3 linked regions of the Arabidopsis thaliana genome follow. The protein of the gene in region 1 interacts with the protein of each later gene in a pairwise test. Each region holds a gene or a part of one and is shown in the gene's direction. Other genes may lie near its edges.

Region 1 (3,763 bases):
AGTTCAGTTGCAAGGTTAAACAGTTTTCAAAAGTTTACAAGGTTTAAGGGGTTTAAGAGGTTCAAAGCGGGAGGGGAAGAGGTTACCAAGTGCAGGAGTCAGTGAAACCAGAGCCGGCTGCAGCAAAGGGGGAGCAGGGAGATGGATACTCCGGTGATTTTGATGAGGAGACAATGTCACACAGTTTTGAGAAGTACGCCTTCATCATCATAGATAGGTGAGCAAAAGGACGGAGATGAGACGCCGGAATAACGGGAGATGAGGGGGATGTCGGCGAGGGAGAAGTGGGAGTTTCCAAGAATAGCTAAAAAAAGTGGGTAAGATCCCGTTTTTTTGAAAACATTTGCTTCATTTAGTTACCTCGAAACTCGTGCCTGGGAGAGAAACTTTTTTTTTTTTTCAGCCGATGTTAATCTCATGAAACAACGTTTAGTGTGGAACAATGAAACTACAACAGTTTTTTTTTTTTTTTAAATATATATTATAAAGTACCAACAACGTTTGGTTATGCAATTATTGTTATATACCATCTCATGATTTATGTTTATATCTAATTTGGAAGGAGAAAATATCAATGTATTTCTTATAAAAATATCAAAGGATTGACGGAACACATGAATAAGAAAATTTGATGTCTAACCGAAAAACGAATGAATGTATGCATGTGTAATTCAAAAAAATCGATACGTAACTGCAAAGGAGCAAGCGATCGTGAAGGATTGCGTTGTCCTCATGATGTACAAAATAGGTTTGGTAGCCCAACTTATCAGTCCCACGTTGTTAGGTCCAAATGTATATACATTTATACACACTTCTATTTTTGTTCATGACTATTCATCATACAATCTTAAATATATTGATTGGTACTTAGATTACAACGAAAATTGATTTTTTTTATTTAAATCCGTACAATTCCTCGGGTATACTATAGAAGTGGGTCAAGATATCACATAGCCGACATAATCACTTTTTGGTCTATGCATATATATTCGATCTCGATACCAAGTTCGATTCTTTATGATACGTATAAATAATTTTCGTAACCACCTGTCTAATTATGAAATAAAATAGAATGAAAGAAGGAAATAAAAAGAGGATTAAAGAGGATGAATGTTAAAGGGGGCCACCACAGTACATATTAGGTCTTAAAAAGACAAGCTTAGCTGTTTCCTTCCTTTTAAAACCAATCACTTTGTTTGGTCTTAAAGAAAAGCTTTCTCATCATTTTAGGGTTTTCTCGCAAAATAAATCGAACAAAAGTTGCATCCACAAACTTCCACACATAATTTAATTTTTGTCGTAATATATTTACTGTTGCAGGTTGTAATTCTTCATCCACTTCATTTTATTCTATGGCTTATGGTTATGGTTACTAGTTAGCGCACAATATATATTTGTTGGAATGTAAGAGTACGTATTCTGCGAAAGTGGAATCTAGCAGAAGTTTGGAAGATCCAAATACAATGTATAAGGGTGATATTATCAACTAAAGACGGGTGCCTAACTCACAAAGTGGTGGCTCCATGTCTCGTGAATGTTTTGTTTTTGTATCTCTGGAGTTATGACATTTTGGTCCGTCCATTCGGATCAAAAATCAGAACGATGACAAATATAATCTCTTTCTTAACTGGAGATCAGTAGATTCCAATTTCGATTCAGCATAAACTTATTCAATTTCTTCTAACCGGATGAGACAAGTACTAGTACGCATTATTGCAATATTAAAGTGTCTTAGTATTCCAAAAACAAAAATTACGATACTTTAAACATAATCTGAATTTTGTATAACATGAGCCAAAAAGAAAACATCCACCATATTTAGGTTGGTAACAAGAAAACAAAACTTGTAATTATAATTCAATGCATAGTTGTGGTCATTTAATTACAAAAGACAGATATACATATATGATATACCCATCAAAAACAAAATTCTGGTAGATTAGCTTAGTAGGTCTGATTGGTTGTGATGATGCATCAATCTATACCATGACATGTACATCTACACACACACACATATATATATATATATATATATGCAGTTGCAAGAAAAATATCTAAGGTTTGGTTGTCGATTGCTATCAGAAATGCTATAAATATCACATCTAGGGTTAGGGTTAACAACCGAGGTCCTCTTGTAATTGTTTTGATCTTTCACTCCCTAACTATTTCGAGCCGTAGAAATTAAAGTAAAAGAACAAAAACTTTATTATACATTTTTCTCTTCCTCTTTAATATATATACATTATTACAAGTTTAGATTTCATAAAAAAAAGTCAAGAAGAAGAAAGAGCTGAGACGAGAATTGAAGTGAGAAAGCATGAGGAAGCGTCAGGTGGTGTTGAGGAGAGCCTCGCCAGAGGAACCTTCTAGAAGCTCGTCGACGGCTTCGTCTCTGACAGTGAGAACTGTGAGGTACGGAGAATGTCAGAAGAACCACGCTGCGGCGGTGGGAGGTTACGCTGTTGACGGCTGCCGTGAGTTCATGGCAAGCCGAGGAGAGGAAGGTACCGTGGCAGCGCTAACGTGCGCCGCCTGTGGCTGCCATCGCAGTTTCCATCGGAGAGAAATAGAAACCGAGGTTGTTTGCGACTGTAATTCACCTCCTTCTACTGGAAATTAGATAAGAAAAATCTAGAGCTAGCTATGAGTGTGTTTGTGTGTTACATATACAGATGATGAAACTGAAAATATTTTATTTGCTTTTTTTTCTTCTTTAATATGAAAGGCTTGTGTTTCTTTGTGAATTTAAGAAGAAACTATAAGAGATTTATAGATTGAAGGTGGTGGAAGCATTGAAAGATTTATAATAATTGGATGCTTTTGGGGTTTGAGAATGTTCAGAAAAGGTTAGGCTTCTGAAGTGAAATATTAAGATTATTGTTGTTTTTCATGTATTATATTGTTTGATTTGTATTCTGGTTGGGTCATGTTATTGTATTTTGATCTATTTTGATTATTTTGTCGAAGCTGACGAAGCATGTGTGGTGTACTCGTGTTTCAATTCAATGTCGTCCACTCAAGACAATTGTTAAGTGTATTGTGAAAGGAATTTGTTACAAAATCAATATGTGTATTTACTGATAAATGAATGAATGAGATTGATTGTTCCTTAACATATATGGAAGGTTCTTCGCTTGTGATAAGGTAGCTGAATATAGTAACCCATTTATTGATTATCTCAATAACTAATTTAATTAATTATATATATATATATATGTATATATTAGTATAAATAAATCACTAATGATTGTAGTAAATATTTTTTTTGGGAGGCGATGAAAAAAGGTTTAAATTGATCCCTTTGAGACCACTCCTATAGCTTTATTTTTAAAAAATATAAATGGTGGAGTTAAGTCTCACACTATTTTCCATGATTTATCTTAAAATATTTAGCTTTATGTGAAGTGCATAAAGCTCAGATTTATGTGAAGGGCATGTTAACTCGAGACCGATTAGATTATTTAAGCTCAGATTTCTTAATTATGCTATGATGAGAACCAATATTTTCAGGGATATATGCCTTCCCAGCTTTTAATTAAAAATAGTATATATTAAAATATTCTATAACCTTTTAGCTTTAAGAGAGATTTTTCAAATTTTATTTCAGAGGATAAAAGATAGGCAAATAAATTTGAATTTAATTGGGAGGCGGAGGCCCACAAATCTAATCCTTGTTGGTTGCTAACTTGCTATGATGGAGAAAAATTAGATTTAGAACTAATCATACACGATAATGGCTTGTGGTTTTCTGATCTTTTGTTTT
Region 2 (4,112 bases), on another chromosome or scaffold:
TGGTAGTTGGTGGGAAGGACGGATTCTAGCTGTGAAACCCAAATCACCTGATTTTCCTGATAGTCCGTGGGAGAGGTACACAGTTAAGTACAAGAGTGACCCTGCCGAGACACATCTTCACAGTCCCTGGGAGCTTTTTGATGCAGATACCAAGTGGGAGCAGCCTCACATTGATGATGAGCAACGAAACCGTTTGCTCTCGGCCTTAACAAAGTTAGAGACTTCAGACAAGAGAACCCAGGTATGTGATCCTAATGAATATAATATCTCATGGTGTTAAATCTAGCCTATCCTCCCCACCAAATTCAGACTTCACCCAAAGAGCTTAGGCCCATGTTTACATTAGCTTAGTTGGTTTATAGATCACATTCTAAAGCTTAGTGGATTAAGACACAACATTATCCCAAGAACTAACAATATTGATATAATGTGGGCTAATTTGTTTCAGGATTCTTTTGGCCTCCGAAAACTGAACCAGACCGTGGGAAATTCCAGCTACTCCAACAGGTAAATTTCTACAACCCTGGAAGAGTCTTTGGTGGAGCCAAAGCTGACATGGTTTTGTTCTATGGATTCATTCTGCAGGTTCCCAGTTCCTTTGTCTCTTGAAGTAATCAGATCAAGGCTTGAGAACAACTATTACCGAAGTGTGGAAGCATTACGACACGACGTATCAGTTATGTTGTCCAATGCAGAGACTTTCTTTGGTCGAAATAAAAGTGTAGCAGCCAAAATCTCAAATCTCTCTAACTGGTTCGACCGGACGCTACCTTCTTCGTAGCTTATCATCGCGCCTATGTAGATAAACTGATGTTTTTTTTTCTCATGTTTCCAAATTATTTAGTTAGGTTTCCTGCAATTCTTTAAAAACTCTGGTTCTAATGGCAGAAGAGAATTTTAGGGGATTTTTTTTCCTTCAGTTAGAAAATTTTAGGTTTAGGGTTTAGTTGGAGATAATCTTTTTCTTTTTGAAATTGTATGTAAAGAGAAATTGGAGGAGAGGTCAAAAACGTTTGATGCTTTGGAATCATCTTCTGTTGACTGACCAACCCCAAATTTGAGAATCATTTCTTTTTCTGCTAATGGTACAACAACAGATGAAATTGTTGACATTACATGTGCAAATATCCAGTCTACAATAGATGATCAAGACAAAAACAGTATAATTGCAAATATTTTTGACAAAAAATTGATGAATACTAAGAAACAACGTTTTTATAGAAAGTCTGGACGATTTGGTTGCTCTAGACAGTGGTAGTAAACTGAGTGATAGATATTGCTAGGTGTTTTTGAAACACTGTCAAGGTTAAGCTCCAATGAAATCAGTCAGTGATTATATGTTGATGACCCTCTCTCAAGGTTTGTTCTATAGTCACCAATTACAATTGTTTCTTCTTGGTATTGATATTTTGAGTTTTGTGTGTTTAGGATAGCTGATAGGCTTTTTTGTTAGTTTTATTTGATGGACTATTGTTTTTCAGTAGGTCTTTAACAAAGTTTTCTTCTGCTACCAGGTCACCTTTGTCAACTCCATAGCCACATTTTAAGGAGTGAAGAACCAGAAAGAATGAACACGATAATGTGAAGAACCAGCTATATATTTGTTTGTCTCTCTCATAATAATCTGACAAAATTTTTTTTGTAGAATCTAGCAAAATAATATTTTTTGAAAAATAAAAATATCTCCAAATAAATCTGAATCATAATACAATAACTAAAAATTATCAAAATAAAAATAAATAAGACTGCACTAAAAAAGGATTCTGGTGGATAGTTGGGCTTAGCCCATACAAGATTACGGTCCATGTGGTTTAATCGGTTTAGGTGGATGATATTGATATGGGGTTTCGATATTTCCCTTATATATATGAGACTGAGAGATAGAAGAAGCCTTCACTTTTCAATTATCTTTCTCCACACTCAACAAAATTGAGAAAAATCAATCAGAATGGTGAAAAAAGGTGGCACGAAGAGGAAGATTGCGATTGAGACGATACAGAAGAGAGATTCCCTTAGGGTTACCTGCACCAAACGCCGTGAAGGTCTCTATAGCAAAGCCTCTCAGCTTTGTCTTCTCTCAGACGCACAGATCGCTATCTTAGCGACTCCTCCTTCTTCTGAATCCAACGTATCCTTCTACTCTTTCGGTCACTCCTCTGTTGATGCCGTTGTCTCTGCTTTTCTCTCCGGACAACGTCCTGTTCCGAAGGATAACAAAGAGACGAGGGAGGACGTTGGTATCTGTTTGACTCGCAATAATCTAGGGTTAGGTTTTTGGTGGAACGACGAGAGCCTTGCCAGATCGGAGAATCCTCAAGAGATTAGTGAAGCGATCGACTCTATGCGGACGCTGTTGAGGAATCTCAAGGAATTGCGTGCGGATGAAGCTTTAGCCTGTAATCAAGCTTTCGTTAATGATCGCGAGGACCTGAAGAACAACGACAAGTGCGATTTTGTTTCAGACCACGAAACTCATGATCAAACCCTAATTCTTCAGTCCGCTTCTCCAATTTGTTGCATCCCAGAAAATCTCAACGAGATTACTCAAGAGCCAAATCAAACCCTAAATATTCAGTCGAGTACTTCTGCAATTTGTTGCGTCCCTGATAATTCACCTGAAAATTTCAATGAGATCACTGAAGAACAAGATCAGATTCGCTCGATTTGTGAAACTTTTTGTGTTATGGATAACAACGCTGCTTTACCTGAAATGAACCTGGATTACGATCAAGACATTGGCTTCGACACGCCTTTTGAGAGCGCGCTAAATGATTGGTTTTCGGACAACACTACTCATCAGGAGATTAGTGCAAGTATTTTGAACGCTGTTGTTGATGATCAAGTCTCGGTGGATCTAACTCCGTTTTCTTATTTTCAGAGATGTTTGGATGGAGATAATCTACGATTCTCTGATTGTTTCAAAGACTTTGCAAACACTATTTCAGCACTTTGAAGATAATTTCTCTGCAGTTTTCAAACTAACTTCTAGTTACTTCTTTATTATATGTATGTATTGATTCTGCTAATTTTGGTTACAGATATGTTTTAGCAATGTAATGAATGAAAGGGTCTGGTTTGACCTCGATCAGTTTTCCATACATATATGTATGAGGGAAATTGATCGAAATCAAACTGGTTCTCTGCTTCATCAGTTTGGTTTAATGATAATATTTGTCTTCTGTTTCTATGTTTTGTATTTGTAGTTTCAAGTCCAAACTCATGCGATGAGAACATGACCAAGGCAACCAAACCACTTGAACCACAAAAAGACGAGAAGCAGCTTGTACCGGAGGAAGCATTAATCGTTCTGGCGGGTCCTCTAACAAGATCAAAATCTAAGAAGTTCAACCAAGCTATCAATGGACTACTCAAGGAGCTAAAGAAGAATCAAGAAGACGTGACTCAATCCTCCTTCATAGTGATCACGGCTCAAGAGGCTCGGTAAAGGGTTAAGTGTTGCTTATGCATTCTTTTTCCCTTATCAAGTTTTGTCCCAATGGGTTTTCTTGACAAGGTTTTTAATGAGGCCTAAGGAACACTTTCAAGCCTCCCTTTATCAGCTCAATTCGTGGTCCAAGGCCCACTCACAATGCCGTGGCCCATTTTCTATTTTCTCTTCAAACTTTGCATTTATTGTTTTTGTTATTTCCAAAACTCTTTGCATGAGTGTGTACTTGTGCATGCTCTTGCATGTCTTTCTTCTCTCACCTCTTCCCCTTCTTCCTCCTCTCCTATATAAACTCATTGTAGTTCTCATTTGTAATCATCAAACATTTTAATCAAAAACTTTCTCTTTCACTTGTTTGATCTGAAAAGTGTGTAGTATCTTTTCAACTTGTTTTCTTCTTAGTGTGTAATATCTAAGTTGGATCCAAGCTCGTAGTCTAAGAGTCTTTCATCACTCTTGGAAGTACAATTCGTTCCCCTTTCATTCCGCTGCATCCACTCGATCTCGTCGCCATCCCCATTCATCGTCTTTCCACCGCTTTGATTAAGATCAATCCATTATTCACTATCAACTACATCATTTCCAATTCAAAACCAACAAAGTGAGTCCTTGGAGTATAGATCCACTTCCAGGAGTGTATCATCATGTCTTTTTAATATGACAA
Region 3 (5,683 bases), on another chromosome or scaffold:
TACCACCTCGTATAATTATATTCTTATTATACTTGTACTAATATTAAAGTTGTATAATTAGGAAAAAAAAGAACATATCACATGTAATAAGTAATAAATATAGTGAAAAAGGAGAGGCATGTGAAAGTGGGGGGAAGAAGAAGAGAAGACAGCTGTGTATCCGCCGCTCTCTCTCTTTCTTTCCCCTTCAAGAAAGTTCTCCACTTCCACCGCCCACCTTCTTCTTCTTCTTCACCTTCTTCTCTAACCATTATTATTAATTAGCATCTTTCATTTTGTTGTTAGAAGGAAATAGTTTGTTTTCCTTTTTTGTGTATAACTAGAAATGAGCGGTGTGTTTTTGTGTAGAGTGTGATTTGGTAATGAAAATGAGTTTTTTTTTTATTTTGTGTATGTTTGTGTAGGTGAGAGGTATTAAAGAGTTGTATAATGTGATAGTATGAGTGTCTGCATCGATGTCTTGAGTTTGCAACTAATTTTAGATATGAGGCTATTCAATTTTTGATTGATCACTTATGTCTATCTTCACCACAGCTTTACTATCTCAAAAAATGTACTTATTTTCATTATTTTTCACCTAATTGTTATAAGGTTTCTTTATTAGTTTGTTATCTTGTACTTTTGTCGAAAATTCTGGTTACCACCAATACATAAAATCATCATCTTGACTTTTGTTTTGATTCACATATATATGTGCAAAGGAAATTAACAGTTTCATTTTTAATTAAAAACCAAACGAGTTACTAAAAAAAAAAGCGATGTCAAGCTATCAACATTTAACTAAACGAATGTCTTATTTTTTGGAGAAAAAAATAAATTCAAAGAACATATCAAAGATCACTTGACGTCACGTTTGTTTATTTATGGGATTTTGCAGACCATGCATGTTCTTGATTCCAAATTATGCCAACATACAAGAATCACTTGTAAAATTGTAGCGTCCAAATGAGTCTAGCAACTTTGTTATCGTGACCAAGCCATCATATCAATTCATGTATGCTAAATTCGCTGCAAATTCAGTAAAAAGTATGTTTAAAATGACATAAACGAAATCTGTTATAGTGTTGGTAGTGAGTGGGTTTGGCTTTGGCTTCGCATAAACTAATGCATGGGTCAGGTTATCGATCCGACCTGCCAAGATAGTTCCGAGTTTAAAATTACATGGTTATGTTAATTAATTATGCACTATGTATGATTCATAAAATAATTTCACTGGCTTTGGACTTACTATTTTTTTCTTTTCTTGACATCACTAAAACACTATTGTTTGATATGTTTCTATAAATGTATTATTTACACAATAACAAAAAAAAAGAGAGAAAGAAACTGTTGAATTGGAGAGGAAAGAGAGTGGGGGGAAAGATGTCAAGGCTGGTCCAGCTCAAATCGGGTAAAAACTATTATCAAATTCCAATTCTGTCCCTCCCTTTCCCCAAAAATCTGATTGTCACATACCCTACCAATCAGACAACGCCACGTGGACACCTTAGACATGATGGTGGGAGAGGACAACAACATGGGAGGCACATGATTTTGTGTTTATTATATTTCTCCAAAACACAATTTTTACCCAAAAACAATTTAATCGGATCACTGAGCAATGAGATGTTTGCGGATCCAAATTTAACTTTTAAAGCCTTCCTTACTCTTTGCTTTATAACAATAATAATAATACACATAAAATTGGATTTAATTAAATAGATGTGGACCTTTTTTTCTAAATAATATAAAAGAAGGAAGAAAATAAAATAAATAAAGAAAAAGAGAGAGTGAAGAAAAGTGGGTTTAACAATAATTTGCTGCAAAGTTAGAAGAGGCTTCAGCTTTATTAACTTCTTGTTTGCTTTCATTCTCTTTCTCTCTATCTATCATCATCATCCTCGTAATCCTCTCCTTTCTCCTTCAGACCCCTCCTAGTTGCTGTTTAAACAAACAAAAAAAGACTGCTTCTCTTTCTTATTTCTCTCATCATCATCATCAATGGTTTTATGAGATTTATATCAAAAAACATTGAGGAGCTAGAGAGAAAGAGAGAGTGTGTGTGTAGAAAAAGATTGAAACATCATCAAGATTGATGGAGCAAGGAGGAGGTGGTGGTGGTAATGAAGTTGTGGAGGAAGCTTCACCTATTAGTTCAAGACCTCCTGCTAACAACTTAGAAGAGCTTATGAGATTCTCAGCCGCCGCGGATGACGGTGGATTAGGAGGTGGAGGTGGAGGAGGAGGAGGAGGAAGTGCTTCTTCTTCATCGGGAAATCGATGGCCGAGAGAAGAAACTTTAGCTCTTCTTCGGATCCGATCCGATATGGATTCTACTTTTCGTGATGCTACTCTCAAAGCTCCTCTTTGGGAACATGTTTCCAGGTCTCTCTTCCTCTCTTCTCTTCCATTTTCATCAATGGTGTTTCTTGATAGAGATCCATTTGCATGTGTTTTTTTTTTGTTAACTTTTTTTTTTTAGTGTTAGGTATATATAAATAGTAATATATTCGAGATCAAAGCATCTTCACCATCCCCAAGAAAAATTAAAAGAACTGTTTGTTTATTACAGAAGTTGGTTCATGAGTTTCTGGGACGTTTTCGATTTTGAAAATCCCAAGACTCTCTTTACTTCCAAAAAAAAAAAAAAAAAATCCGATCGAACAGTAACCATAAAAATTTTCCAGCTAATAACGACAACCAAAAATAAAATAAAACTAGAGAATCTGAATTATTTTCATGTTTTTGGAAACAGGAAGCTATTGGAGTTAGGTTACAAACGAAGTTCAAAGAAATGCAAAGAGAAATTCGAAAACGTTCAGAAATATTACAAACGTACTAAAGAAACTCGCGGTGGTCGTCATGATGGTAAAGCTTACAAGTTCTTCTCTCAGCTTGAAGCTCTCAACACTACTCCTCCTTCATCTTCCCTCGACGTTACTCCTCTCTCCGTCGCTAATCCCATTCTCATGCCTTCTTCTTCTTCTTCTCCATTTCCCGTATTCTCTCAACCGCAACCGCAAACGCAAACGCAACCGCCTCAAACGCATAATGTCTCTTTTACTCCTACTCCACCACCTCTTCCACTTCCTTCAATGGGTCCGATATTTACCGGTGTTACTTTCTCGTCTCATAGCTCATCGACGGCTTCAGGAATGGGGTCTGATGATGATGACGACGATATGGACGTTGATCAGGCTAACATTGCGGGTTCTAGTAGCCGAAAACGCAAACGTGGAAACCGCGGTGGAGGCGGTAAAATGATGGAATTGTTTGAAGGTTTGGTGAGACAAGTAATGCAAAAGCAAGCGGCTATGCAAAGGAGTTTCTTGGAAGCTCTTGAGAAGAGAGAGCAAGAACGTCTTGATCGTGAAGAAGCTTGGAAACGTCAAGAAATGGCTCGGTTAGCTCGAGAACACGAGGTCATGTCTCAAGAACGAGCCGCCTCTGCTTCTCGTGACGCCGCAATCATTTCATTGATTCAGAAAATTACTGGCCATACCATTCAGTTACCTCCTTCTTTGTCATCTCAACCGCCTCCACCGTATCAACCGCCACCCGCGGTCACTAAACGTGTGGCGGAACCACCATTATCAACAGCTCAATCTCAATCACAACAACCAATAATGGCGATTCCACAACAACAAATTCTTCCTCCTCCTCCTCCTTCTCATCCTCACGCTCATCAACCAGAACAGAAACAACAACAACAACCACAACAAGAGATGGTCATGAGCTCGGAACAATCATCATTACCATCATCATCAAGATGGCCAAAGGCAGAGATTCTAGCGCTTATAAACCTGAGAAGTGGAATGGAACCAAGGTACCAAGATAATGTACCTAAAGGACTTCTATGGGAAGAGATCTCAACTTCAATGAAGAGAATGGGATACAACAGAAACGCTAAGAGATGTAAAGAGAAATGGGAAAACATAAACAAATACTACAAGAAAGTTAAAGAAAGCAACAAGAAACGTCCTCAAGATGCTAAGACTTGTCCTTACTTTCACCGCCTCGATCTTCTTTACCGCAACAAAGTACTCGGTAGTGGCGGTGGTTCTAGCACTTCTGGTCTACCTCAAGACCAAAAACAGAGTCCGGTCACTGCGATGAAACCGCCACAAGAAGGACTTGTTAATGTTCAACAAACTCATGGGTCAGCTTCAACTGAGGAAGAAGAGCCTATAGAGGAAAGTCCACAAGGAACAGAAAAGGTACAAACTTTGCTTTTCCTTGTCAAAATGTGATTGGTTTAATGTTCTTTGATAACTGAAATATGATTTGTTGGAATTGAAGCCAGAAGACCTTGTGATGAGAGAGCTGATTCAACAACAACAGCAACTACAACAACAAGAATCAATGATAGGTGAGTATGAAAAGATTGAAGAGTCTCACAATTATAATAACATGGAGGAAGAGGAAGATCAGGAAATGGATGAGGAAGAACTAGACGAGGATGAGAAGTCCGCGGCTTTCGAGATTGCGTTTCAAAGCCCTGCAAACAGAGGAGGCAATGGCCATACGGAACCACCTTTCTTGACAATGGTTCAGTAAAATCAGAATCATTGTTTCAAGAAAATGTACTTATGTGTGCATAGTTTTCTAAACAAAACACCCAAAAACACAAAACACAAACACACACACACACACATCTGACACCACAAACTGAAATATCAAGGTCTCATCGATCTTCGATTTTTCAGTGAATACAATTCTTTTTCACATTCTTTCCCTTTTGTTCTTTTCTTTCTCACTGTCTCTTGTTTGTTTCTTCTTGTTCATTGTTTTCTTCTTCCAACCCCCACATGAACAAAAAACTCTAGCTAAAAGGTCTTTTAGATTATTTTGGAGTTGTAATTTCATCAGCAAGTCTCACACTTTTTTTTTTTCTCTTAAAACATTTGTTGATTGGTTAATTGGGGAATAAAGAGTCTTTATTTTATTTTTTCTTCCTTTAAGGTAAGAATTAGAATCATTTAGTTTATCAGACAAAGATAAACATATATGACTGATTATTACTACTATTTGAATTGATATATGACAAAGATTGGTTTATTCACTTTGCTTTTTTGACTGAGACTCAAAGCCATAAGTAATTGAGAGGAGAAGAAGAAGAGAGAATCTGTGTGTTTTTATGTTTAATCCTTTTTGCGGCGCCCACAAAAACAATCCGATAAGCCATTATTCATTTTTGGTGTCACTATCAATTAAACAGGGTCGCTCAAAGTTTTGTTCTTTTGTTTCAAACTTTATTTTTCTTACAATCAAAAGCATGTGCAGGCTTTTGTACTTACAACGACAAGACTCGTGCCACTCTCATGTTAACTCATTTTTCATCTCTCTGTTTTTTTTCTATAACTTTTTTCTTTACCTTCAAAAAAACTGTATCAAAAAGTAAAAAACTACTCGTGTAAATTTACAAAATAAAAATAATGGTTTGAGAATATAGAAAGATGGATTGAGACAGCATGATCACACCAAAAAAAAATAAAGAAGAAGAAGAAAAAGAAAAGATTCTGTATCTTTTTGATAGAGAGAGTAATAATGGAGGAAATGGGTACAGGTAAGAAAGAGTAAGTACCACTTTGATTGCCAACTTGCTTTCACCTCTTTGTGTCTTAACACAGCTGCCCCAACGTGCAATCATTTTATACATATAAAATGTATGTATCTAATTATACAAAAGATATTATTACAATGT

The links. The genes of interacting proteins can lie anywhere in the genome.
Region 2: the proteins of MIF2 (region 1) and AT5G49420 interact in a two-hybrid assay, tested with the Arabidopsis thaliana proteins (one large-scale study listed by BioGRID).
Region 3: the proteins of MIF2 (region 1) and GTL1 interact in a two-hybrid assay, tested with the Arabidopsis thaliana proteins (one large-scale study listed by BioGRID).

The regions. Positions count from the first base shown.
Region 1 is NC_003074.8:10,922,697-10,926,459, forward strand, and holds MIF2 (mini zinc finger 2), read left to right. Parts: upstream 1-2,011; 5' UTR 2,012-2,317; coding exon 2,318-2,620; 3' UTR 2,621-3,117; downstream 3,118-3,763. UniProt on the Arabidopsis thaliana protein: Inhibits zinc finger homeodomain (ZHD) transcription factors by interacting with them to prevent both their nuclear localization and their DNA-binding properties.
Region 2 is NC_003076.8:20,034,007-20,038,118, reverse strand, and holds AT5G49420 (MADS-box transcription factor family protein), read left to right. Parts: upstream 1-1,913; 5' UTR 1,914-1,948; coding exon 1,949-2,953; 3' UTR 2,954-3,006; intron 3,007-3,203; 3' UTR 3,204-3,447; downstream 3,448-4,112. Other genes in the region: AT5G49430 (WD40/YVTN repeat and Bromo-WDR9-I-like domain-containing protein), read left to right, coding at 1-241, 449-507, 586-781.
Region 3 is NC_003070.9:12,050,712-12,056,394, reverse strand, and holds GTL1 (GT-2-like 1), read left to right. Parts: upstream 1-1,641; 5' UTR 1,642-2,074; coding exon 2,075-2,364; intron 2,365-2,459; exon of another isoform or gene 2,460-2,561; coding exon of another isoform or gene 2,562-2,734; coding exon 2,735-4,196; coding exon of another isoform or gene 4,197-4,229; exon of another isoform or gene 4,230-4,278; coding exon 4,279-4,536; 3' UTR 4,537-5,018; downstream 5,019-5,683. UniProt on the Arabidopsis thaliana protein: Transcription repressor that binds specific DNA sequence such as GT3 box 5'-GGTAAA-3' in the SDD1 promoter. Negative regulator of water use efficiency (WUE) via the promotion of stomatal density and distribution by the transcription repression of SDD1.